4 linked regions of the Arabidopsis thaliana genome follow. The protein of the gene in region 3 interacts with the protein of the main gene of each other region in a pairwise test. Each region holds a gene or a part of one and is shown on either strand. Other genes may lie near its edges.

Region 1 (5,298 bases), on a different chromosome or scaffold from region 3:
GGCATAAGAGCTTGGTGCAGCTTATATCATCAAGTGGGATGTGGCTTTATTGGTGTCTCGATGCCCCATAGATGTTAACAATCAAGTCTACTTGAGAAATATATAGGGATTCACTCCTCTAGCAAAGTATTGTAACAAATAAATGCAAAACAGAGAAAAGAAAAAAATCAAACTAAACCAACTAATAAATAAATTACATAGTTTGATCCATATCTATACAACATATTTTGGACATTGACTTACAAGAATCAGAATAACAAGAACAGATTGACAAACACTTGACATGAGAAACTAAACTTCAACATTGTTCTCACTTTGGTTAAGTTCCGCCATCTTCTTCTTGTTTCTCTTGTGCAGAGTGTAGAAGTAAGATCCTAACGCCAAAACTGTTCCTATCAAAGCACCAATTCTAGGCCAACTAAACACATCATCCATAAAATCAAATGCCAAGACAACAAACAAAGCCACAAATGGTGAAGCACACATATGAACAACATCACCAAAAAGACCCGAAACATAATGCACCAAACCTATCATCCCGACCGCCCAAACCTGCCACGACAAAGCCAACCCGACCAAACTCAGAACGTAATACGTTTCCCCTTTCTTAAACCTCTTGCTATCGCCTTTCAGTTCCTTATACTCGTCACTCGCAAACAAGCCCACGAGACAAACAACCGAGGCGACAAAAGCGACACATATTTGCATCTCTAAGACCATTCTAAACACTTTCTCGTTACCATATCTCTTGGTCTTCACTTGGAGTTTCTCGAACCCGAGTTGGATTAAGCAAAGAGATAATGAGAAAGCAATTGTAGCAGAGAAAGCTAACCAAGCTTGGATGTTGTATCCGAATTCTTCGCCGTCATGAGGCTGTCCTCCAAAGTCAGGAGTACCGAGAACGTAAATCACAATAGTGAGTAATATCGATATGATGATCCATCTAGTAAACTTGAAACGGTTAATGATGGCTGTTAAAACAGCGGTAAATATCAACTGTGTTGTGGAAATCAATGAGAAGATGCCATAGTTTGAGACTAATTTCCCGAGTGCGAACAATTTGCTGTGAGCAGCAACAAGAACACCAAGAGATAAGTAAAGGAAGAAGAGACGCAAGGAGAGGAAACTAGTATTGTTGGTTTCAAGGTGTTGTTTTGGTTTAGGGAAAATGAAAAAGAGAGGGATGAGAATAGGAAACGCAGCGTTTTGGATCAGAGCTTGCGTCCATGTTCCTTTATATTGTAGATCTTGGTCATACTCTTCTCGACGGTCTTGCTTCATTTGGACATAGAAGAAGTTCAAGAGAAGCATGACGAGAGAATCTCCGAGTAAGACTAAGAAAAGACATAAAGAAACAGAGATCCACCATTTTCTTTGTTTTAGCTCCAACGATCTTCTTGGACTCAAGATTTGGTCTGGTTCTGGATTCTGAACGTGTTCTGATTCTTCTGGTTGTTAAAGAAAATATTTAGTTTTTATTTTGTTTTCGAGTACAGAAACAATATTATAAAACTTATGATAAGAATTTGAAATAATTACCATGTCTTGTTGTCTGTTTGGAAGCTTTGGACATCTCCATTAGTTTTCTCTGGTACCTCTGAAGTCTGAACACCCTTAAATATGCAGATTTCATTCTCTGTGGAATGACTAGTTCTATCTTGCAATTAGAAAAGATCTTTCCACTATACCGTACGAAATCTTTTTGACAGATCAGAGTTGGTACTAGTCAAAACCCGGAAAGGTATTACTGTATATATTATACACCGCTACACAAGGTTAATTACTTAATTTAAACGTACATTAAAACCTCTATAAATTAATAATGTTGGAACATGATATTTTATTAATTTATAGAAACTTTTGTTTTAATTGTTAACAAAATATAAGTTAAACAATTTGATCAAAATAAAATTAATATTTTGGAGGTTATAAATTTTATAGTTTCAGACTTAAAACATTTAAAATTACAAATAAATGCAAAACAGAGAAAAAAAAATCAAACTAAAACAATCAACAAATAAATTACACAGTTGATCCATATCTATACAACATATTTTGGACATTGACTTACAAGAATCAGAAAAAGAAACAAGAACAGATTGAGAAACACAAATATACAGTTGACATGAGAGACTAAACTTCTACATTGTTCTCACTTTGGTTAAATTCCACCATCTTCTTCTTGTTTCTTTTGTGCAGAGTGTAGAAGTAAGATCCTAAAGCCAATACTGATCCTATCAAAGCACCAATTCTAGGCCAACTAAAATCATCATCGATAAAATCAAATGCCAACACAACAATAAAAGCCATAAGTGGTGAAGCACACATATGAACAATATTACTAAAAACACTCGAAACATAAAGCACCAAACCTATCAGCCCGACCGCCCAAACCTGCCACGACAAAGCCAACCCGACCAAACTCAGAACGTAATACGTTTCTCCTTTCTTAAACCTCTCGCTATCGCCTTTCAGCTCCTTATACTCACCACTCGCAAACAAACCAACTAGACAAACAACCGAGGCGACAGAAGAGACACATATTTGCATCTCTAAGACCATTCTAAACACTTTCTTGTTACCATATCTCTTTGTCTTCACCAACAGTTTCTCGAAACTAAGTTGGACTAAACAGAGAGATAATGCGAAAGCAACTGAAGCAGCGAAAGTTAACCAAGCTTGGATGCCGTAGAAATGTTCATTTTCATCAGGCTCTCCTGAAAATACAGGACCACCAAAAGCATAGCTCACAAGAATGAGAACTATCGATATGATGATCCATCTAGTAAACTTGAAACGGTTAATGATAGCTGTGAAAATCAAGGTAAAGATCAACTGGGACCCTGAAATCAGCATGAAGAAGCCATAGCTTGAGTATAACTTCCCAAGTGCATACAATTTGCTGTGAGCAGCAACAAGAACACCAAGGGAGAAGTAAAGCAAGATGAGACGAATGGAGAGGAAGCGAGTATTGATGGTTTCAGGGTTTGGTTTTGGTGAAGGGAAAATGAAGAAGAGAGGGATGAGGATTGGAAAAGCAGCGTTTTGGATCAGAGCTTGCATCCATGTTCCTTTGTATTGTAGATCTTGGTTATTATCTTCTCGACGGTCTTGAACATAGAAGAAGTTCAAGAGAAGTATGACAAGAGAATCTCCAAGCAGGACTAAGAAAAGACATATTAGAACAGAGATCCACCATTTCTTTTGATTTAGCTGCAACAGTTGTCTTTGGCTCAAGACTTGGTCTGGTTCAGGATTCTGAACATGTTCTGATTCTTCTGTTGGTTAAAGAAAATTTGGAATTCTCAGTTTTTATTTTTTATTTTTAAGAAGACAATAAGAATAGAAACAATTTTTACAGAAGTTAAGACAGTGAAGTTACCATGTGTTGTTGTATGTTTGGAAGCTTCGGTCATCTCCATGAGTTTTCTCTGGTGGATCTCTAAAGATTTAGATATGTAAATTTCATTCCCTGTAGATTTTCCAATTATTGAGAATGATTGAGGAGAGGCACATTAAACAATGACTAGCTAGTGGTGATTAAATTCTTTATAATAATTAGAAATATTACTAAAACTTATACAAAACCATGCGATCCTTTAGACAGATCAGATTTGGTATACTTTGAAAACGACTCATCAGTTGTGGTCCTTGAGGACATCACTAGGCTATAATTTTATTCCTAACAATCATGTATTAAACATAAGTTAACCTAATAAACTGTCAATCATGATAGAGACTAGACTACTCACTTATGGTCATGCTAAAACACATATTGAAAAACATTAATCAAATAAGCAAAAGTACATAAAGATCATTTAAAGCTCTTATATATATCTCCATAAACATAAGATCATCTCATAAAATAGTTTACATCTCTAACAGGTTCCTTCAAGAACCACAAAAGTTTCTCTTAGAACCAAATCAAGAACAAGTACACATAAGAGCTAAAAGATAAAAGGGTGAAAAATATCTCTCTTGAGTGGCAATGTGGCATGACATGTTGAAGATCCAAGGAGAGTTATAAATAAATCTCTAGAGGAAAGGAAGGAAACTAAGGGTTTTTGTTCTTACAACGTAAAAATTATAGCCTATATATAGGAAAAGACTTGTGAACCCAGGTTAACCAGCTGTGAGAAAGATTTTTTTGTATCTATTTATTAGTTATTACAATACTTTGTTGATGAAAGTAAGAGATAAATTGTAGTGACAAATCCTCATTAACAAAATATTGTAAGAGATAAATACAAAAAAAAAATCAAATCAAAATAATTAACAAATATGTTCCATAGTTTTCAGATCTATACAACATGTTTTAGACATTGACTTACAACATTCAGAAGAACAACAACATATTTTGAAACAGAAACAAACATTTGACATGAGAGACTAAACGTCAATATTGTTCTCTGTTTGGTAAAGCTCCACCATCTTCTTCTTGTTTCTCTTATGCAGAGTGTAGAAGTAAGATCCTAAAGCCACAACTGTTGCTATCAAAGTACCAATTCTAGGCCAACTAAACTCATCATCCATGAAATCAAATGCCAACACAACAAACAAAGCCACAAGTGGTGAAGTACACATATGAACAACATCGCCAAACACACCCGAAACATAAAGCACCAAACCCATCAGCCCGACCGCCCAAACCTGCCACGACAATGCCAACCCGATCAAACTCAAAACGTAATACGTTTCTCCTTTCTTAAACCTGTGGCTATCGCCTTGCAGTTCCTTATTCTCGCCACTCGCAAACAAACCCACGAGACAAACAACCGTTGCGACAAAAGAGACACAAATTTGCATCTCTATGACCATTCTAAACACTTTCTTGTTACCATATCTCTTTGTCTTTACCAACACTTTCTCGAAACAAAGTTGGAATAAACAGAGAGATAATGCGAAAGCAACTGAAGCAGCGAAAGTTAACCAAGCTTGGATGCTGTAGAATTCTTCGTTTTCATCAGGCTCTCCTCCAAATTCAGGACTACCGAAAACATAAATCAAAATGCTGCCGATTATCGATAAGATAATCCATCTGGTGAACTTAAAACGGTTAATAATGGCTGCGAAAATAGCGGTAAATATCAACTGAGTCGCGGAAATCAGCGTGAAGACGCCAAAGTTTGCGTATAATTTCCCAAGTGCAAACAATTTGCTGTGAGCAGCAACAAGAACACCAAGAGAGATGTAAAGTAAGATGAGACGAAAAGAGAGGAAACGAGTATTGGTGGTTTCTTGGTTTTGTTTTGGTGAAGGGAAAATGAAAAACAGAGGAATGAGTAGTGGAAACGCAGC
Region 2 (6,865 bases), on a different chromosome or scaffold from region 3:
TGAACATTTATTATGCATAAGTAAAGAACTAACACTGATGAGATTAAACTTGAATGTTGAAACATATAAAACATTATGCAAAGTCAATGTGGATGAAATATGCACTGTGCCTGTGTGACTAATGGGTACTCTAGTGCCATTTGGAAGTGAGACTGTAATACCAGTAACAGGAAAAGTCTCACTAAACATTGCCAAATCAGAACAAACATGACTACTAGCTCCACTGTCAACTATCCAAGCATCATGAGGCAAAATGGAATATAATGATGAAAGACAATGATGTTGAAATGTGAAAGAATGATTTTCATATCGTAAACTTGTTGAGGGAAATTCAATAGAAACATTACCAGCTGTAGAAGTAGTTGCCATAGCTCCATGATCAGTGATGGTAGCTGATGGAAAGGGAGTTGACTGCTCCGGAACATGAAGATGAGTATTGAGTTGTTGTATTAAAGAATGGACTTGATCCGTCGTAAAAAGACTGAGATCAAGACTTGATGCAGTCATTGCAGGAGGTGGAATATAAGGAGTAGATCCCATGACTGCATTAGCAACAGCATTATGTCATTTTTCATTCAAATCCGAAGAAGAGAAAGATACTCTTACAAATGTCTTTTTCTTGTGATAATTTTACGGGTGGGAAGATGGTTGACTTTGACTCATATCGTCCATATTCAAAGGTCTTGATAGTTTGAATTCGATGTTAATAGTATTTTATTCGTATAAACAATTAAATAAGAGTTGACAATGTTTAGACAAATTTGGATTATGAAGTAGTAACAATGATAAAATCTTGAGACTGGTCTCCAAATCCGACAGCTAGGAACCTCCCTTGGCATTCATAAGACAACGTACAATCAGGGACACGATACGGTCAACGGTCTCTATTAGCACTTAATTATCAGTATCAATTAAACTATCAATTGAGTAATATAATAGACGTTCAAATTTAATTTTAAACTTAACGGTCTAAATTTGTGGAGAACAAAATTTGGTAAAAATGAGAAGATAAAGAGGAAGAGGACACGTGGGTTGGTTCGTGGTTGATCGACAAGTACTCACGGGCTATATCTTTAACTTATCATCCTTTTATTCTTAACAAAAGAAATTTGGTGGAGATAAATTTAATCATGGTCATGGTTTTAGTAGCTACAAATGCAAATGTGATTTTCTTTTTTCGTCTGCGTTTGCAAGTTTGAAATTTTTGGTGCTGATGAAAAAAAGAAGAGATGATGTTTCACCATTTTTTTTTTTGTTTTTTGATCAAAGGATGTTTCACCAACATAAGAAAAGAAAACATGTCATGAAGGAGTTAGGACTAACAGTTTGAAAATACTTAAGAACTCAAATGTTAAAAAGGCTCATATTTTTTTCCCAAATTATGTCATCTCCTTCTATAATCTAAATCATTCGTGATTTAACATAAAACTAAATATTAAGTAACTTTATTCAAATCTATGAAATCGATTTACCATATACACGATTTTAAAAAGGATACAAGCGGAAATGAAACTGTGCATTGAAATATACGAACAAAAAGCCTGAGTTTACGAAATTTGACATTATCTCATCAACACGAAACTTCGACGTATTACAAAGACAAAAATCAAACCTACAAAAATAGAGAACAATAGTCAGTTACAGAATTTAAGTTTGCCACGAAAATGATACATCATTATGAAGTTTTTGTATGCCTAAACATTGATATCAGTTAATGTCTTCGACTGTAATAAAGAAATGCCTTGATTAACTCCGTAACTACGTCTTCTTTTGTCAGCAAATTCTAATTTATTACATGCTTAAGTTGATTTGATCCCATAACCAAACAACATATATATGGAATGTATATAAAAAAAATCTAAGCAATCTAAAAAAATTAATTATAATATATGCTATAAAAAAAATTATAGGAAACTTTGCTAAATGGCATAAACAGTTATTTTAATTAAGTATATGGAATTGTCAAAAAATTATCATTATTTTTTTAAAAATACATGATTGACTCTTTTTTTTTGTGTGCAAACAAATACATGATTGACAAAAAAAAAATACATGATTGATAAAGATATTTCTTTCAACATCTATGGATGAGAGGATCAGGAAATGTAGCATTATTTTACTTTTGAAAACTACATATATTATTGTTGTGAGCCTGTGAATTCTGTAATCTTCCAACATATTCGTCTACTAAAAAACTGACAACTCAATTCAGAACATATTTTTCTACTAAAAGGTGAAGTTAAAAACTCAATTTAAAAAAGATTTCGTACTTAATAGTCAAAGTTAAATTTGGTCCGAAATCTTTTTGAAGTATCAAAGACTGCAAAGGTATAACTGTCTTTTTGGAATAACTTTAAAAAAATTAACAAAAACAGTGAAACAAAATTTAAGAAAATCGAAGAAAAAAATGATAAAATAGCAAAAGTTTGTGACTTTCGTGGAAACTCCTTCCCCGTCCTCTCTGTCCTCTGATAAAGGCTTCACTTTCATCATTCAATCTCTTCTTCTTCTTTCTTCTTCATCACTCTCTCTCTTTCTCCAATTTCTTCATTTTATCAGCTTCCTCTCTTCTTTAGTTTCTGGGTCACTTTAGTTTCGCTCTTTCCGAGGAAAAACAAAACAAAGATTTGATTTTTCTTTTTGGTGGGTTTAAACAGTGATTTCTTCTTTTGCCCTTTTATTGGTTCTTATTGTTCTCCTCAAAAGTCTACAGGATTGTCGGAAGCAAACACACTTGTCCATGTTCGGTTTGATTTTTTACCTCAAACAAGTTTCTTCCTTTTTTTTTGCTGTTTAGTCGAATTGCGTTTTTGACACTGGAAAGTTTTGAAATTTGAGTTTGATTTTTACTGAAATCGAAATTGTTGAATTGAATTGAAGTTTGTTGAATCAGGGTTATGAATTTCCCTCTAATTGGTGAAGAAGACACATGAAGCAGTGAAATCTCTGTTTGTATTGAATCTTATTAGTCTCAAACTATGAATTTCCGACAAGAGAAGTTTGTAAGGTCAGTGTTCCAGATTTGTCTCATTGAATTCTAAGTCGTGAAGCTTAATTCGATTCTTCTTCACTTTCTCGGATCAGGTTTCAAGATTGGAAGTCGGATAAGACTTCCTCCGACGTGGAATATTCCGGTAAAAACGAGATTCAAACTGGAATATTCCAGAGAACAATAAGCTCAATCTCCGACAAGTTTTACAGAAGCTTTGAATCAAGCTCTGCAAGGATCAAACTATTCAAAAGATCTTACAAGTCTTACTCTTTTAAAGAAGCTGTTTCAAAAGGGATTGGTTCTACTCACAAAATTCTTGACCCACAAGGACCTTTTCTTCAGAGATGGAACAAGATCTTTGTTTTAGCTTGTATCATCGCTGTCTCGCTTGACCCTTTGTTCTTCTACGTGCCTATCATCGATGATGCTAAGAAATGTCTTGGTATTGACAAGAAAATGGAAATAACAGCAAGCGTTTTGCGCTCTTTCACTGATGTTTTTTATGTCCTTCACATCATTTTCCAGTTCCGTACTGGCTTTATCGCTCCTTCGTCTCGTGTTTTTGGGAGAGGTGTTCTTGTTGAGGACAAGCGAGAGATCGCTAAACGTTACTTGTCCTCACATTTCATAATTGACATTCTTGCTGTTCTTCCGCTTCCGCAGGTGATTCATTGATTGGTTTTGTTTGCATTTCCAAATCATTAGCTTGATTCTTTGAGTAATGTGAGTAATTGTGTTTTTCCTCAGATGGTGATTTTGATAATCATTCCACATATGAGAGGTTCATCGTCTTTGAACACGAAGAATATGTTGAAGTTTATTGTTTTCTTCCAATATATACCGAGGTTTATAAGAATATATCCGCTCTACAAGGAAGTTACAAGAACTTCAGGCATACTCACTGAGACAGCTTGGGCTGGAGCTGCTTTCAATCTCTTCCTCTACATGCTTGCTAGTCATGTGAGTGCCAAATTGGTTCTAACTGTCCCAACCTTTTTAGTTTCAGAGTTTAGATATATAATATTTTTGGTCAATACCTGTAAATGTGTAGGTGTTTGGTGCTTTCTGGTATTTGTTCTCAATCGAACGCGAAACGGTGTGCTGGAAACAAGCTTGTGAGAGGAATAACCCTCCGTGCATTTCGAAGTTGTTGTACTGTGACCCTGAAACTGCAGGAGGCAATGCTTTCCTCAATGAGTCTTGTCCGATTCAGACACCAAACACAACACTCTTCGACTTTGGGATATTCCTTGACGCACTTCAATCCGGTGTAGTGGAATCTCAAGATTTCCCTCAAAAGTTTTTTTACTGTTTCTGGTGGGGTCTGCAGAACCTCAGGTATTGAGAATTTATCAGCAAAATTTTCTCCGTTTCTTATGAAGAAAAGTTTCAACACTAAGTTCTTGCATCTTTGTTCTGTTTTCGTGATCCAGTTCGCTCGGTCAGAACCTTAAAACAAGTACATATATTTGGGAAATCTGTTTCGCGGTGTTCATTTCTATTGCGGGGCTGGTTTTGTTCTCCTTCTTGATTGGAAATATGCAGGTTAGTCTCATTTCATCTAATATGCCATAGTGTTTGCGAAATCGATTACTTACTGCTTTTCTTTTAAATGGCAGACGTATCTGCAATCCACTACCACGAGATTGGAGGAGATGAGGGTAAAGAGAAGAGACGCAGAACAATGGATGTCACACCGTTTGCTACCTGAGAACTTGAGAAAAAGAATCCGGCGATACGAGCAGTACAAATGGCAAGAGACAAGAGGTGTTGACGAAGAGAATCTTCTTAGTAATCTTCCCAAAGATCTTAGACGCGACATCAAACGTCATCTCTGTCTCGCCCTTCTCATGCGGGTAAAGAAGAAATCATCTCCTCTCTTTACTCGATTTCTCATTTATTGTCAACATCACTCGTAACCGCATCTTGTTTTTGTTGGTTCTAGGTCCCCATGTTTGAGAAAATGGACGAACAGCTTCTTGATGCGCTCTGTGACCGTTTGCAACCTGTGTTATACACAGAGGAAAGCTACATAGTAAGAGAAGGAGATCCGGTAGACGAAATGCTCTTCATAATGCGCGGGAAGCTTCTAACAATCACAACAAACGGTGGAAGAACCGGTTTTTTAAATTCCGAGTATCTTGGAGCCGGTGATTTCTGTGGTGAGGAGCTTTTAACCTGGGCTTTAGACCCACACTCATCCTCAAACCTCCCAATCTCAACAAGAACTGTTCGAGCTCTCATGGAAGTTGAAGCTTTCGCACTTAAAGCTGATGACCTCAAATTCGTGGCTTCCCAGTTCAGACGTCTTCACAGCAAACAGCTAAGACATACTTTCAGGTACTACTCACAACAATGGAAGACTTGGGCCGCTTGCTTCATACAAGCCGCTTGGAGAAGATACATTAAGAAGAAACTCGAAGAGTCTCTTAAAGAAGAAGAGAATCGGTTGCAGGATGCTTTGGCTAAAGAAGCTTGTGGAAGTTCCCCAAGCCTCGGTGCTACAATATACGCATCACGGTTTGCTGCAAATATCTTGCGCACAATACGTAGGAGCGGATCAGTAAGGAAACCAAGGATGCCGGAACGAATGCCACCTATGCTACTTCAGAAACCAGCAGAGCCAGATTTCAACAGTGATGATTAATTAATTAGCATATATGTATATGAAAGATTTTATTGCGAACCATAGAGCCAATATATAAATATAAGTCTTTTTATAAAGGAGTAAACTTAGAGATACAAAGCCTTCAATGATTTATTATTCCTCTTCAAGAGTTCTACAAAGTTTGATATGAGGGATATGGTAGAGCCAAACAGAAGTCAAGAAGCCAGAAGTGAAGCTACTTCTCTCCGCAGGAATGTGGGCAAAGCAAATGCGGCTCTGTGCATCTGTTTTAGTAAAAAGATAGATCAGGATTTTGCTTTAAGTTAATCTAAAACAGTAAATGAGGAAGTCATAGTTGTGTTAAACTTACATCAGAGTTATAGAACTTCAATTCTCTTTTATGGGTCATCGCACCGTCTAGTTTCTCAATAGGGTTGATTGGGTTCTTGAAGTCAACAGCTGGTCCTTCAGTAGAGCACAAGACGAAACCAATCACGCCGCTGCAATGAAGATATGTTGCTCAATTCATGTTTCTGATTTCAGTGAGATCACACAATGTAATCAGAAGAAAAGTAGAGTTAACCTTGGATATGTGGGGACGCTGCTCCACGCATAGTGAACACTTTTGAATGTTTGACGGCAAATGGAGATCATATCTTCAATAAGATGAGTATGGAGCCACATACTTTCTGCCATGTTACAAAGAACTCCCCCAGGCTTCAACGCTCTAGCCAGTGTCTCGAAGAAAGGCTTCTCAACAAGCGCAAGAGCAGGACCTATGATTATATAGAGTGAAAACGTGAGAGTTTGTAGCTGAAGTCTGAACCGAGTTTTGATTTAGAAAAACAAAATAAGAATCACTCAGATATCCAAAGAGTTTTGCAGATGAATCATACCTACGGGATCTGAAGAATCAACAATGATGGCATCATACTTCCCTTCAGGGGATTTACGGAGGAACTCAGCAGCTGCCAGAGGAAAGTGATATCAACACAAGCAAATTTTTGACTACGTTTTGTGAACAGAGAACAAGTAGAAGAATGCTTAATTACCATCACCAATGTGAAGTTGAACACGAGGATCGTCAAACCCAACCGCTAACTCGGGGAAGAACTTCTTAGACACCTACAAGACCACAGAAATCCCACTTTCTGAGATAGAACATAACTAAAAATTGTTCATACATATGGCAAGCACAAAACCAAAAACTTACATCTATAACCATCTTGTCTATCTCACAGATATCAATAACCTCAACAGAACTA
Region 3 (6,309 bases):
ATCTTGAATAGATGGTTTGAACGGACCATCCATCATATATTCATAAAGCTTAACTGTCTCAGCCATCATTCTAGATTTCTGAAACTGCCTTGAAACCTTTATATAAGTGTCAAGATCCATATCATACCCTGCAGTCTTCATTTCATCAACAACACTCCAAAACTCTGCAACCGAGTTAGGCCTAGCCAAAACCCTCAAAGCTGCGTTATAAGTAACAGTACTGTGTTGATAACCAGAAGAACTACCACCACCACCAACCCAATGGAAAAACGCCAAAGCTTTCAAAGGATGTTCCCTTAGTTCTTTCAACACCCTAATCACAAAATTATCCGACAAAACGAGCTTCATCTCCTGCAATTCCCTCTCAACCTCACAACTCCAATCCCCCTTAGTAACAACAGCAGAAACCTCTCCAGCAACAACAGACATTGCGTTCTCCTTAAGCATTCTCTCATAAAAATGAGCCACAGCCACAGCATCAGCTTTCGATTTCTCCTTACTAAGCTCACCATAAATAGTCTTATAAGTATCCTCGTCTAAATAAAACCCTCCTTGTTTCATCTCCCTCAGAGTCATCCAAAACCGTTTCATTGATCTCTGCTGCACTAAAATCCTCAACATAATGCTATAGAGTGGAGTACTTGGACTAAGCCCTGAATCTCTCAAAACCCAATCGAGAAAGTAATAAGCTTTTTCAGGATACTTCTCCAATTTCCTCAGAACGTAAATTGCAGTCTCGTGTGTCAAAGACATATCAGGTTTCCTCAATCCTTCCTCTACTTCCTTAGACCAATCATTCTCAAGCACTAATTGAAGCATAGAATCTGGTTTCGAAGAAAAGGTTCGAAATTTCCAAAGAAATCGACTAGGGACGATTGCAAATGAATCGAGAGGCGAAGACAAGTTTGAGGAAAAACCCACCTTAGATCGGCTTAGATACGATCGAGTAGAGATCTGTGAGTACGCGTGTCGAAGAGAAGACAGGATTGCCATTGATCTGTACATGGCTACAGATGCTACTACTGTGATTTTGTGTGTTTTCGAATAAGGAAGAGGGAGAGGAAGAGAAAGTGACAATAATAGGGTTTAAGCAAAAATGCAATTTTCCTGAAAATTTAGGGGTTTAACTCCTGAAACGCTGCGTTTTAATGCTGTGATATGATATTTTCAAGTTGGTTTATTCTGGCTTGGGCTTTTAAGCCCATTTATGCCAGATATTTGGGTCCAGTCCCGGAATCGCTTACCAACAAGAACAATTTAACTTAAATTACTTTTCGATTTTAGTTCTTATGAAAATTGAGGGCTTTTCTCGGTGCCCTAGAATTGATCGGAAAAATGTTTTCTTCATGGCAGAGCAAGGGAGTGCATGCTTCGACGGATCAGAAACCAATTCCTGAACAAGTATGAGAATTTAGTTTATTTCAGTTTTTGTTTTGATTATTTATTTGCTCTTTGTAGTTTTGATTGGATCCCTTGAGTCCTTGACGCTGCCATATGCTTATATTTGCTTACTCCCTGAAACGCTTTCTTTCCTATAAAGATGTTTTAAGGTAGTTTTATGAAATTTTGGGCTTTTAGCCCATTTATGCCAAATGTTTTGGTGATTAGGTTTATTATCTATGAAACCCTAATATATTATCTTGAGGCATACGCTATTTAAGAAACACCAGTACCCATTAAACCTAATAGGCGAGAGAGAACAAAATATGAACCGCTCTATATCTTCTTCTAAGATTATGAGAGGCGAGCATAGATCATAAGACAACCTTATTAGAGTCTCTGCAAGTGAGTCCAGTGAAGACGAGTAAGGTTCATAAGAGTTGGGTGAAGAGGACGAGGCTAGCTCAGAAGAATCAAGTGAATAAGAACACAGTGATGTGACCTATCATCACCGCGTTCTTTTCTTCTCCCAGACTCTTCTGAGCTAGTTACGTCTTCACCTAACTAATTCAAGAAATATTATTTGACAAATAGTTTTCCTTCAATCATAACTGTCACAATTTTGTTACACATTTACTTACCTTTAGTACAACATAATATTGCAAACCAAATTAATCTTGACGAGAGTGTGTAATGTAAAAAACGTACTAACACAATAAGTTATCAGAATCTTTAACTTGCAATCTCACCAAAGCCTCTTCACAAATCTCAGGAGGAAACTCTTTTAAGAACTCAGTAACAATACGTTCTTGATCTCTCTGCATCTCTTCAATCTCCTCTCTCTGTTTCCTCAACAAAGACTCAAGTTTCTCTACTATAACCCCAACTTCTTGATTGATCGGTCCTTGTGCTGACGACAACTTAGAATTAGACCGTGGCGCAAACGGTGAACGTGAGTCTCCAGCTCCAGCTTTAGGAGAGGACCAGAATTTTCTCCCTGAAGGAAATCTATCTAAATGGAGCGTCTCTGGAGAAGACAAACATTTTTGTACCGCTGAATCATCACCGATAAGTCGAGAAGGGGTCCAATCGGGGATGTGTGAATGTATCTCTGTGTCGATCATTTTAGCTATCGTTGAGATGTCTTGATCATCGGTTAAGTCTAGTTCTTCGACCATTTCGATGGCGACTGAGAAAGATGTGTCTGTCTCTATGTTAAATGGGAAGTGGATATTGCGGATTTGACCTGTATAAAAAATGTTATTATTGTGTCAAAAGAAGATTTAGTAATGATCTGAAGATTTGTAATAAAAAAAGCAAAAAAGATTTTGAACCTTTGGAATCGGTGATACGTAGTTTTAGGAAGATTGTGTTGAGGTCTTTACGTTGGCCTTCTACGGTTAATAAGCCTACCTCAGAATCCGAGAGTTTATCCACGATTCCGTTTCCGTTGTAACCATTTTCTGTGACAATGTTATTGAACTTGGTGTTAGAAAATTTCACATAGAAAAAATATAGAAACTATCTTATGTTACTATTATTGATTTTAACTTTTAAGAAAGGAGTCCATGACACTTCATATTGAGATGAAATGAAATACCATAATCTGATATTACCTTTGTGAGAGCTGACGTTTTCGGTATTTTCCTTGTAGCATTTCAGAAAAGGATCATCAAGTAGTTCCTTGGCTGACAAGCGTTGCGAGACCTTTGCGATACACTTCTCTATGAATGCTCTCACTTGCGGATCAGTCACATTTAAAAGAGCGGCTGGTTTGATTCCCTAAGAAGCATTGAGAAAAATGGATCGACAATATGGAAAAAGTCATTCTTGATTGGATATGAGATGGGAATATGATCACTTACCGATGTAACTTTCCTATAAATCTGAGCAGCATTTGTGCATTCGGAATACGGGTATTCAAAAGTTACCAGCTCAAGCAAACACATTCCAAACGCGTAGATATCGACAAGTACATTATAGTCCTCTTCATAGAGTTCCGGCGCCATAAATTCAGGAGTTCCTTAAACAATTTCAAACACAAAATTATAGTTTCACAATGGAGAAACTTTTTCGTTTGAGAACAAGATTAAAGATCTCACCGATGACGCTATGAGCAGAGCGAGCGCGGTGCAGAATCGCGGCTAGCCCTAGATCTCCAATTTTGACCTCACCTTGGTTCCCATTAATGAAAATGTTATCACATTTAAGATCTCTATGGATCACAGGAGGATCATGGCTATGTAGATAAACAAGCCCTTCTAAGATCTGCCTTGACCATTTCTTCAATGCTCTTAGATCAACACACTTATGTTTCTTCCGGTACCTATAAGGGTTTGTCAAACATGAATAATATTGATCAAATAAAAAAGATTTGATTTGACTTCTGAGAGAGGAATCTGACTGTCTAAGATTTCCGGAAGTGAAGACTTCGGTGATGAGATTGATAGTCATGTGTTGGTGATCGATCCAAGAAGTGTAGAATTTGATGATGCTTTTGTGTTTAAGGGTTTTGAGTAAGTGAACTTCAGAGTAAAGACGATCTAAATCCTCTGAGCTACAGAATTTATCATCTAACTTAACTTGGTTCCAAGCCACTTCGATTCCTTCAAGTTGGTCAAATGCTCTGTATCTGAAGAACTCTCTGATCAAAGAAACCCTTTAGTGACTGTGTCTTGTCCGAATCTAATCTGATTTGTCTCTGTAGTAATAACAGAGATCTAAGAAAAAGGATACACTTCTTTGAAAGCTCCTTTGCCTAGAACTTCTTTATACTGAAAACATGAGAAACAAAAACATTAGAATTGAGAAAAAGGTAACACTAAAATCAAGTAAAGAAGAACAGACCCGGCCATAGCGACCAGTGGGATCAATCTCAACGAATTCTTCCTCGGAGTTATTCTCGTCTTGTCGCATTCTTGGTTACTTGCAATTCAAAACAGATGATAGGAGTTCTTGAGAGAAGAGAGAAATTTAGTCAAGGAAGAACAAGTTTTGAAGCAGTTTCTGATAATAATAATAATCATTACTTAGCTGTCTTTTTGTGTATAAATCGATTATTTAGATTTTGTGCCATTAAAACCAAGCTTAAGCTTTTCCAGCTGCTGATCATAATGGTGTCGACTGTAGAATGTTGTACACTCTCTCTCTTTCTCATCTTCGAATTTAGGACACTCAGATCCACTGGACAAGACCACGTGGCAAAGGTGTGGGTCGTTGCTTTTTTCGCGCCATGGATCTGGTTTTTTATTTGATTTTCTTCTCATTTATTGTCATGTTACTCTAATCAATTATTTTGCTTATTCAGTCAACTTCATGGTGTTGTGAATATAAAATATTCGGACTTTTTTTTTCCCCTTCTTAACTCTTAAGTCACTGTTTTAGCTGACTAAGAACCCTATAATTGACTATCCTACAAATCGAATAATGGGTTTGGTAAATTACAAAATGTTTAGCCATTGAACCCGCTTGTCATGGTAACGAATTCGATTTTACTGTGTGTAAACAACAATTTGGACTTCAGCTTCAGTTCTTTTAAACTTAAGGAAACTTTTCACTAAAGGGTTTTGCTCTCTCTCTCAGGATTAATAGAATAATAGTCATAGTTTTTGGTGAAACATAAATATTCAATGTTGTTACACTTTAAATAGAAACTTGTACTGACACAAATCACTACACTAATGTTATGATCATTTGTTATAATCTATTACTTCTACTTATATCTCAAAATATAAATGTTTTACATATTGGAGACAGAATGTTTGAGACGAATTAGGACATTTAAATTTTCATGGAGAATTGTTTGTTGAACAATGTTGTCGTTGTATTTTTGATGAGTATGAATTGGCGGTTCAGCCGTTTAAAAACCGATTATATACAATGATCATCAAATTTTTGTAAGGCCCATTGGGCCCAGAGTATATAAATCCTTAGAGCTGACGGCAGCCTGAGACCATTATCCTAGGCACTTGTATTGTATGGTGGTAAGACACATCGTGGAAGCACCGAAAGACTAGAACGGTGACACGACCAAAATAAGACATAAATCGTAAACGCACCAAATGACTTTCACAAGGAAAAATCTCGAAGAACTAAACATTAAAAGACTGGTGCATGCATAAATACATAAGTCCAAAAGATTGAGTGGACAGTAATTACGTACTAGTACTACCGTGAAGAAACTTGGCTTGTATATGTAAGTCCAAAAAAACCACAAATAAAAACTCTTCACAAGAACACGTTTTGATGTACTTGAAGAATCCAGACATGATGATCATGTTCTTTCTGTTATGCTCAATAATCTTTGTAGTTACCATCATAATTTTCAGAAAACAGAAGAGAGGGAAGAAAAGAAACACACTTCCGTCACCACCGGGACTACCGTTGATCGGAAACCTTCATCAACTCGGCCGCCACCCTCACCGATCACTATGCTCTCTCAGCCACCGGTACGGTCCTCTTATGCTTCTTCACTTTGGCCGTGTCCCCGTTCTTGTAGTATCTTCAGCTGAATTGGCTAGAGACGTTTTGAAGACGCATGACCGTGTTTTCGCAAGCCGGCCACGGTCAAAAATCTTCGAGAAACTTCTTTACGATAAGCATGATGTGGCCTCAGCTCCTTATGGAGAGTACTGGAGGCAAATGAAAAGTGTGTGCGTCCTCCATCTATTCAGCAACAAAATGGTACGATCCTTTCGAGAAGTGAGAGAAGAAGAGATCAGTCTGATGATGGAAAAGATCAGGAAATCGATTTCTTTGCCGGTAAATCTAAGCAAGATCTTGGTGAGTTTAACTAACGATGTGATATGTAAAGTTGCTTTGGGACGGAAATACGGTGGTGAAACGGATTTTAAGGAGTTAATGGAGAGACTAAATAAACTATTGGGGACGTTTAGTGTGGGGAGTTATGTACCTTGGCTTGCGTGGATT
Region 4 (5,628 bases), on a different chromosome or scaffold from region 3:
GTCATACGTAGCTCTTCCGGCACCATTTCCTTGCCGGAGAGAAGGCATTCGCTGGCCTTCCCACCTCTAATAAAGTATTGTCTCTCTTAGCTTAGTCGTTGTATCATAATTACTTATCAATTGTTCTGATACTTTGAACAATTGCTTGCTGGATCGAAGTTTTAGGTTAAATATTTATGATGATTCTTTATTTTTAGTAAGAACCGAGGTAGCTAACCTTGGGTTGCCATTACAACCATCACTACTGTATCGTTTCTCCAATTGAAGATATTCTGCTAAGTTCACATGTATAAGGCGACTAGAGCTAACTTTTGCTAGCTCGGTATTGAGGCTTACGACCAATATATGTATACAAGAGACACAGCTCCTATGTGTACAAGAAAACATGGCTAAGAAAATTTTCCAAACATCAACAAATTTTTTGATGTCGTCGAAACTTTATAGGAAAATTCTAATAAAATATATGTTGTCGGTAAACCGTGGAAATTAACAGATAAAAATTCATCGAATTGTGGTCCAAAATTTCATACTATGTTTTTATAGACAATACACGCACGCAAGAAAAAGCATGACCATGAAAAACAAAATCTTATGAAAAATGTTCTTCCAAATGCAACAGAAGTATCTTGACGCAATTGAAACTTAACCAAGCTAATCAAAAGATTCAAGAGTTGGACGGATATGTAGATGTGGCCTACTCTAGTTCCATGATGCAAAACATTCATCTCGATTTGGACTCGCCTTCTCAAAGAGAATATACCGGAAACAAAAATGTAGAGGCTACAAGAAAATATATGCATTCAAACAAAAATTTTTGACGGAAACTCATTAGAAATTTTCCTCAACAATTCGTCAGAAATTTTCTGTCAATGTCTGACCAAAAAAATCTGACCAATTTTCAACTAATATTTTTTACATCGGAAATTTGTCTGAAATTTATCTGCATTTTTCCGACCATGTTTTTTCTCGGAAGTACTCGTTGAAATTTGGGATATTTCCTTGTTGTAAATCGTTTGATTTTTAATTGATATTTTATGTTTTAAATAAATTATAAATTTGTTTAATAGATTATTAGGATTATGCATATATACTTTAATTGTAAATTTTAATTAATATACATTGTAAATAGTGGTCAGAAATTCTTCAAAATTTCTGGTCAAATTCTGACGACTTTATATTTATTACAATGACTTGTTTGTCGGAAGCAACTCAAAATTTACTGTCAATATTCTGACTATTTTTCACAAGAAAGATTGCTCGAGATATAATCGGTAATTTCCAACTAGAAGATAGTTAAAAAATTCTGACAAGGCCAGCCCTAATATATCTTTCATTGCCATATTTTATTAGAAAATTTTTGACAAAATTTCAACGATATTTTTATTATTGTTTTCATAAAAAGTAAAAATAAGAAACCATCCAGAATAATTTAAAGTAAATATAATTTAAATCAAAAGGCTTAATATTAAAATCCATAAAAGACAATATCAAATTGTCATCCAAAGTAAATATTGATTAGTAACAAATATATTAAAGAAAACAAAAGTAAGAGATTAGATAAATAAGGAATAAGAAACAAAAATTGGAACATACAGATATGACGAGAGTAATATTAGAGAGAATGAAAGAGTTTAATGTTTTATATTGGGGGTTTTTTCCCTCTTGTTTTACATTGGTTTGAATGAGACAAATGTCTACAGCTGTGCTTGGACGCAAGCTGATCAAGCACATAGTTGTGGCCCTCGATCAAATATCTATTTGAACGGCCAATTTTATTGGAAATCTCAAGTTACAGTTTCCCCATTTATTTATTTTCTCCCTAAAGTTAAGCTATTAGTCGGGCCAAAAAAAGAAATTCAGCGTGTGGCCTGTTAATATTCGGAGCTGTAGTTCAATATATAAAAAAGAAGTTCGAGCGACCTATTGCATCTTTAATTTGTAGGAAACAAAAACAACACTAAATTCAGATGATTTTGAAATTAAAAGAGCGACCGATTTTTTTTTATTTTTTTTTTGATGAATTTGGATATATTTGTCGGAAAAATGGTTGAGGTGTAAATATATAATTATGATGAATATGTTCAAATTCATCGAAAATTCGTCACAAATCTTTAAATCTATACTAAAAATTCACCGCATAAAACTAAATGTATATTAACACTGAGTGTCTTTGCGATTTCCGACTAATTTCTGAAGGATTTAGAACCATATTTAAATTGGGTCCAAAATATGAAGATAGATAAAATTGTGGTTTTTGATGAATTTCTGACGACTTTTGAAAACACATCTAAAATGAGATTTAAAGTATCTATTTTGAAAGAAAACATCAAATTACAACATAATTACCAAGAATTTCAAATAAAGAAATTGTGATATACAGTTTACAACATGTTTCCAACAAATTTTCGAAAAACAATTAATAACAAATTTCTAACAAAAGTACTTTCTTCTGAAATTGTTAGACTGATTCATCAAATATAAATTCTAATCGATTAATTGTCTAACCGATTATAAGAAGAAATAAAAGAATATCTCGAAAGTCTAATAACGAAACAAGTTTGAGAGACTATTTTTTTTTTCTTTTTTTGAGAGACCAAGTCTTCATTATGGAACATGGATAATTATTGAAATCCAGCTTGCTTTCTTATTTGTTGGGAAGACATCTTATTCTTAGTTGTCTGAATCATATCCATGTATTGTATAAGCGTGTTCGACGTTGTTTTCCCCGAATATAAAAATGCGAAGTTCGCAAGACTTGACCGTTGAGTTGACTGTCTCCATTACAACTTGTTCCTCTAAAGTAGGAACGAGACGTATAGGTAACTTTCTTTGAAAGTCTTTGTTGTTGTCCGAAAATTTGTTAGCAGTCAACTTACATCCAACTTTTTTGTTTGTTTATTTGGTTTTCGAAATTAACTTTCTAGTTAAAATCAGATTTTTTCACTGATCAGGTGTGATCAGTCTCATCCGTGTAAGATTTGTAATTTTTTTTGCTACATCATTAAAATCGACAAATCGATACACAATTCTTTACTATGATATTTATTACAAATCAACACAAAAAATAAATAAACAAACCGAATATTGCGTTTAAATTAACTTTAGTGTATATAATAGCTTTCCGGAAATAGCGTGGTTGAAAGTAGAAACTGTGTTTTATGTCCAAAACTGAATATGAGTCATTTTCAAAGTACCAAATCTTATCTGTCAAAGGATCACATGATTACGTATAAGTTTTAGTGATCTTTTTTAATTATCTAAAAGAAGTATATCGCCGCCAAGGTGGAACAAGTCATTGTTTGTTTAACGCGCACTTCTCCTCCTCAACCATTTATCAAAACTAGAAACCACTATATAAAAAAATCCACAGAGAATGAAATTTACATATTTTCAAATCTTTAAAAGTTGAGACCAGAAGAAGAAGAAAAAAAATCATGGAGATGACCGAAGCTTCCAAACAGACAACAGCAGAAGGATCAGCAAATCCAGAACCAGACCAAATCTTGAGTCCGAGAAGATCGTTGGAGCTAAAACAAAAGAAATGGTGGATCTCTGTTTCTTTATGTATTTTCTTAGTCTTGCTCGGAGATTCTCTAGTCATGCTTCTCTTGAACTTCTTCTATGTTCAAGACAATCGAGAAGATAGTGACCAAGATCTACAATACCGAGGAACATGGTTGCAAGCTCTGGTCCAAAACGCTGCGTTTCCACTACTCATTCCTCTGTTTTTCATTTTCCCTTCACCAAAACAAAACCAAGAAACCACCAATACTCGTTTCCTCTCTTTTCGTCTCATCTTACTTTACATCTCTCTTGGTGTTCTTGTTGCTGCTCACAGCAAATTGTTTGCACTTGGGAAATTATACGCAAACTTTGGCGTCTTCACGCTGATTTCCGCGACTCAGTTGATATTTACCGCTATTTTCGCAGCCATTATTAACCGTTTTAAGTTCACCAGATGGATTATCTTATCGATAATCGGCAGCATTTTGATTTATGTTTTCGGTAGTCCTGAATTTGGAGGAGAGCCTGATGAAAACGAAGAATTCTACAGCATCCAAGCTTGGTTAACTTTCGCTGCTTCAGTTGCTTTCGCATTATCTCTCTGTTTATTCCAACTTTGTTTCGAGAAAGTGTTGGTAAAGACAAAGAGATATGGTAACAAGAAAGTGTTTAGAATGGTCATAGAGATGCAAATTTGTGTCTCTTTTGTCGCAACGGTTGTTTGTCTCGTGGGTTTGTTTGCGAGTGGCGAGAATAAGGAACTGCAAGGCGATAGCCACAGGTTTAAGAAAGGAGAAACGTATTACGTTTTGAGTTTGATCGGGTTGGCATTGTCGTGGCAGGTTTGGGCGGTCGGGCTGATGGGTTTGGTGCTTTATGTTTCGGGTGTGTTTGGCGATGTTGTTCATATGTGTACTTCACCACTTGTGGCTTTGTTTGTTGTGTTGGCATTTGATTTCATGGATGATGAGTTTAGTTGGCCTAGAATTGGTACTTTGATAGCAACAGTTGTGGCTTTAGGATCTTACTTCTACACTCTGCATAAGAGAAACAAGAAGAAGATGGTGGAGCTTTACCAAACAGAGAACAATATTGACGTTTAGTCTCTCATGTCAAATGTTTGTTTCTGTTTCAAAATATGTTGTTGTTCTTCTGAATGTTGTAAGTCAATGTCTAAAACATGTTGTATAGATCTGAAAACTATGGAACATATTTGTTAATTATTTTGATTTGATTTTTTTTTTGTATTTATCTCTTACAATATTTTGTTAATGAGGATTTGTCACTACAATTTATCTCTTACTTTCATCAACAAAGTATTGTAATAACTAATAAATAGATACAAAAAAATCTTTCTCACAGCTGGTTAACCTGGGTTCACAAGTCTTTTCCTATATATAGGCTATAATTTTTACGTTGTAAGAACAAAAACCCTTAGTTTCCTTCCTTTCCTCTAGAGATTTATTTATAACTCTCCTTGGATCTTCAACATGTCATGCCACATTGCCACTCAAGAGAGATATTTTTCACCCTTTTATCTTTTAGCTCTTATGTGTACTTGTTCTTGATTTGGTTCTAAGAGAAACTTTTGTGGTTCTTGAAGGAACCTGTTAGAGATGTAAACTATTTTATGAGATGATCTTATGTTTATGGAGATATATATAAGAGCTTTAAATGATCTTTATGTACTTTTGCTTATTTGATTAATGTTTTTCAATATGTGTTTTAGCATGACCATAAGTGAGTAGTCTAGTCTCTATCATGATTGACAGTTTATTAGGTTAACTTATGTTTAATACATGATTGTTAGGAATAAAATTATAGCCTAGTGATGTCCTCAAGGACCACAACTGATGAGTCGTTTTCAAAGTATACCAAATCTGATCTGTCTAAAGGATCGCATGGTTTTGTATAAGTTTTAGTAATATTTCTAATTATTATAAAGAATTTAATCACCACTAGCTAGTCATTGTTTAATGTGCCTCTCCTCAATCATTCTCAATAATTGGAAAATCTACAGGGAATGAAATTTACATATCTAAATCTTTAGAGATCCACCAGAGAAAACTCATGGAGATGACCGAAGCTTCCAAACATACAACAACACATGGTAACTTCACTGTC

Evidence for each region.
Region 1: the proteins of WNK3 (region 3) and AT1G57980 interact in a protein complementation assay, tested with the Arabidopsis thaliana proteins (one large-scale study listed by BioGRID).
Region 2: the proteins of WNK3 (region 3) and CNGC1 interact in a protein complementation assay, tested with the Arabidopsis thaliana proteins (one large-scale study listed by BioGRID).
Region 4: the proteins of WNK3 (region 3) and PUP18 interact in a protein complementation assay, tested with the Arabidopsis thaliana proteins (one large-scale study listed by BioGRID).

What each region holds. Positions count from the first base shown.
Region 1 is NC_003070.9:21,437,311-21,442,608, forward strand, and holds AT1G57980 (Nucleotide-sugar transporter family protein), read right to left. Parts: upstream 3,538-5,298; 5' UTR 3,423-3,537; coding exon 3,383-3,422; intron 3,279-3,382; coding exon 2,134-3,278; 3' UTR 1,896-2,133; downstream 1-1,895. Other genes in the region: PUP17 (purine permease 17), read right to left, coding at 292-1,448, 1,540-1,579; PUP18 (purine permease 18), read right to left, coding at 4,390-5,298.
Region 2 is NC_003076.8:21,536,604-21,543,468, reverse strand, and holds CNGC1 (cyclic nucleotide gated channel 1), read left to right. Parts: upstream 1-2,439; 5' UTR 2,440-2,747; intron 2,748-2,893; 5' UTR 2,894-2,978; coding exon 2,979-3,007; intron 3,008-3,084; coding exon 3,085-3,655; intron 3,656-3,739; coding exon 3,740-3,952; intron 3,953-4,043; coding exon 4,044-4,330; intron 4,331-4,425; coding exon 4,426-4,537; intron 4,538-4,611; coding exon 4,612-4,848; intron 4,849-4,937; coding exon 4,938-5,639; 3' UTR 5,640-5,748; downstream 5,749-6,865. Other genes in the region: SPDS3 (spermidine synthase 3), read right to left, coding at 5,816-5,884, 5,971-6,100, 6,184-6,376, 6,497-6,568, 6,653-6,725, 6,814-6,865. UniProt on the Arabidopsis thaliana protein: Acts as a cyclic nucleotide-gated ion channel. Can be activated by cyclic AMP which leads to an opening of the cation channel. May be responsible for cAMP-induced calcium entry in cells and thus should be involved in the calcium signal transduction.
Region 3 is NC_003074.8:17,870,925-17,877,233, forward strand, and holds WNK3 (with no lysine (K) kinase 3), read right to left. Parts: upstream 4,607-6,309; 5' UTR 4,297-4,606; coding exon 4,228-4,296; intron 4,155-4,227; coding exon 4,117-4,154; exon of another isoform or gene 4,013-4,116; coding exon 3,785-4,012; intron 3,707-3,784; coding exon 3,483-3,706; intron 3,404-3,482; coding exon 3,246-3,403; intron 3,163-3,245; coding exon 2,997-3,162; intron 2,844-2,996; coding exon 2,715-2,843; intron 2,627-2,714; coding exon 2,088-2,626; 3' UTR 1,896-2,087; downstream 1-1,895. Other genes in the region: BIR6 (Pentatricopeptide repeat (PPR) superfamily protein), read right to left, coding at 1-1,005; CYP71A26 (cytochrome P450, family 71, subfamily A, polypeptide 26), read left to right, coding at 5,647-6,309. UniProt on the Arabidopsis thaliana protein: May regulate flowering time by modulating the photoperiod pathway.
Region 4 is NC_003070.9:21,440,679-21,446,306, reverse strand, and holds PUP18 (purine permease 18), read left to right. Parts: upstream 1-3,270; 5' UTR 3,271-3,434; coding exon 3,435-4,607; 3' UTR 4,608-5,128; downstream 5,129-5,628. Other genes in the region: AT1G58007 (multidrug resistance protein), read left to right, coding at 1-70; AT1G57980 (Nucleotide-sugar transporter family protein), read left to right, coding at 5,575-5,614.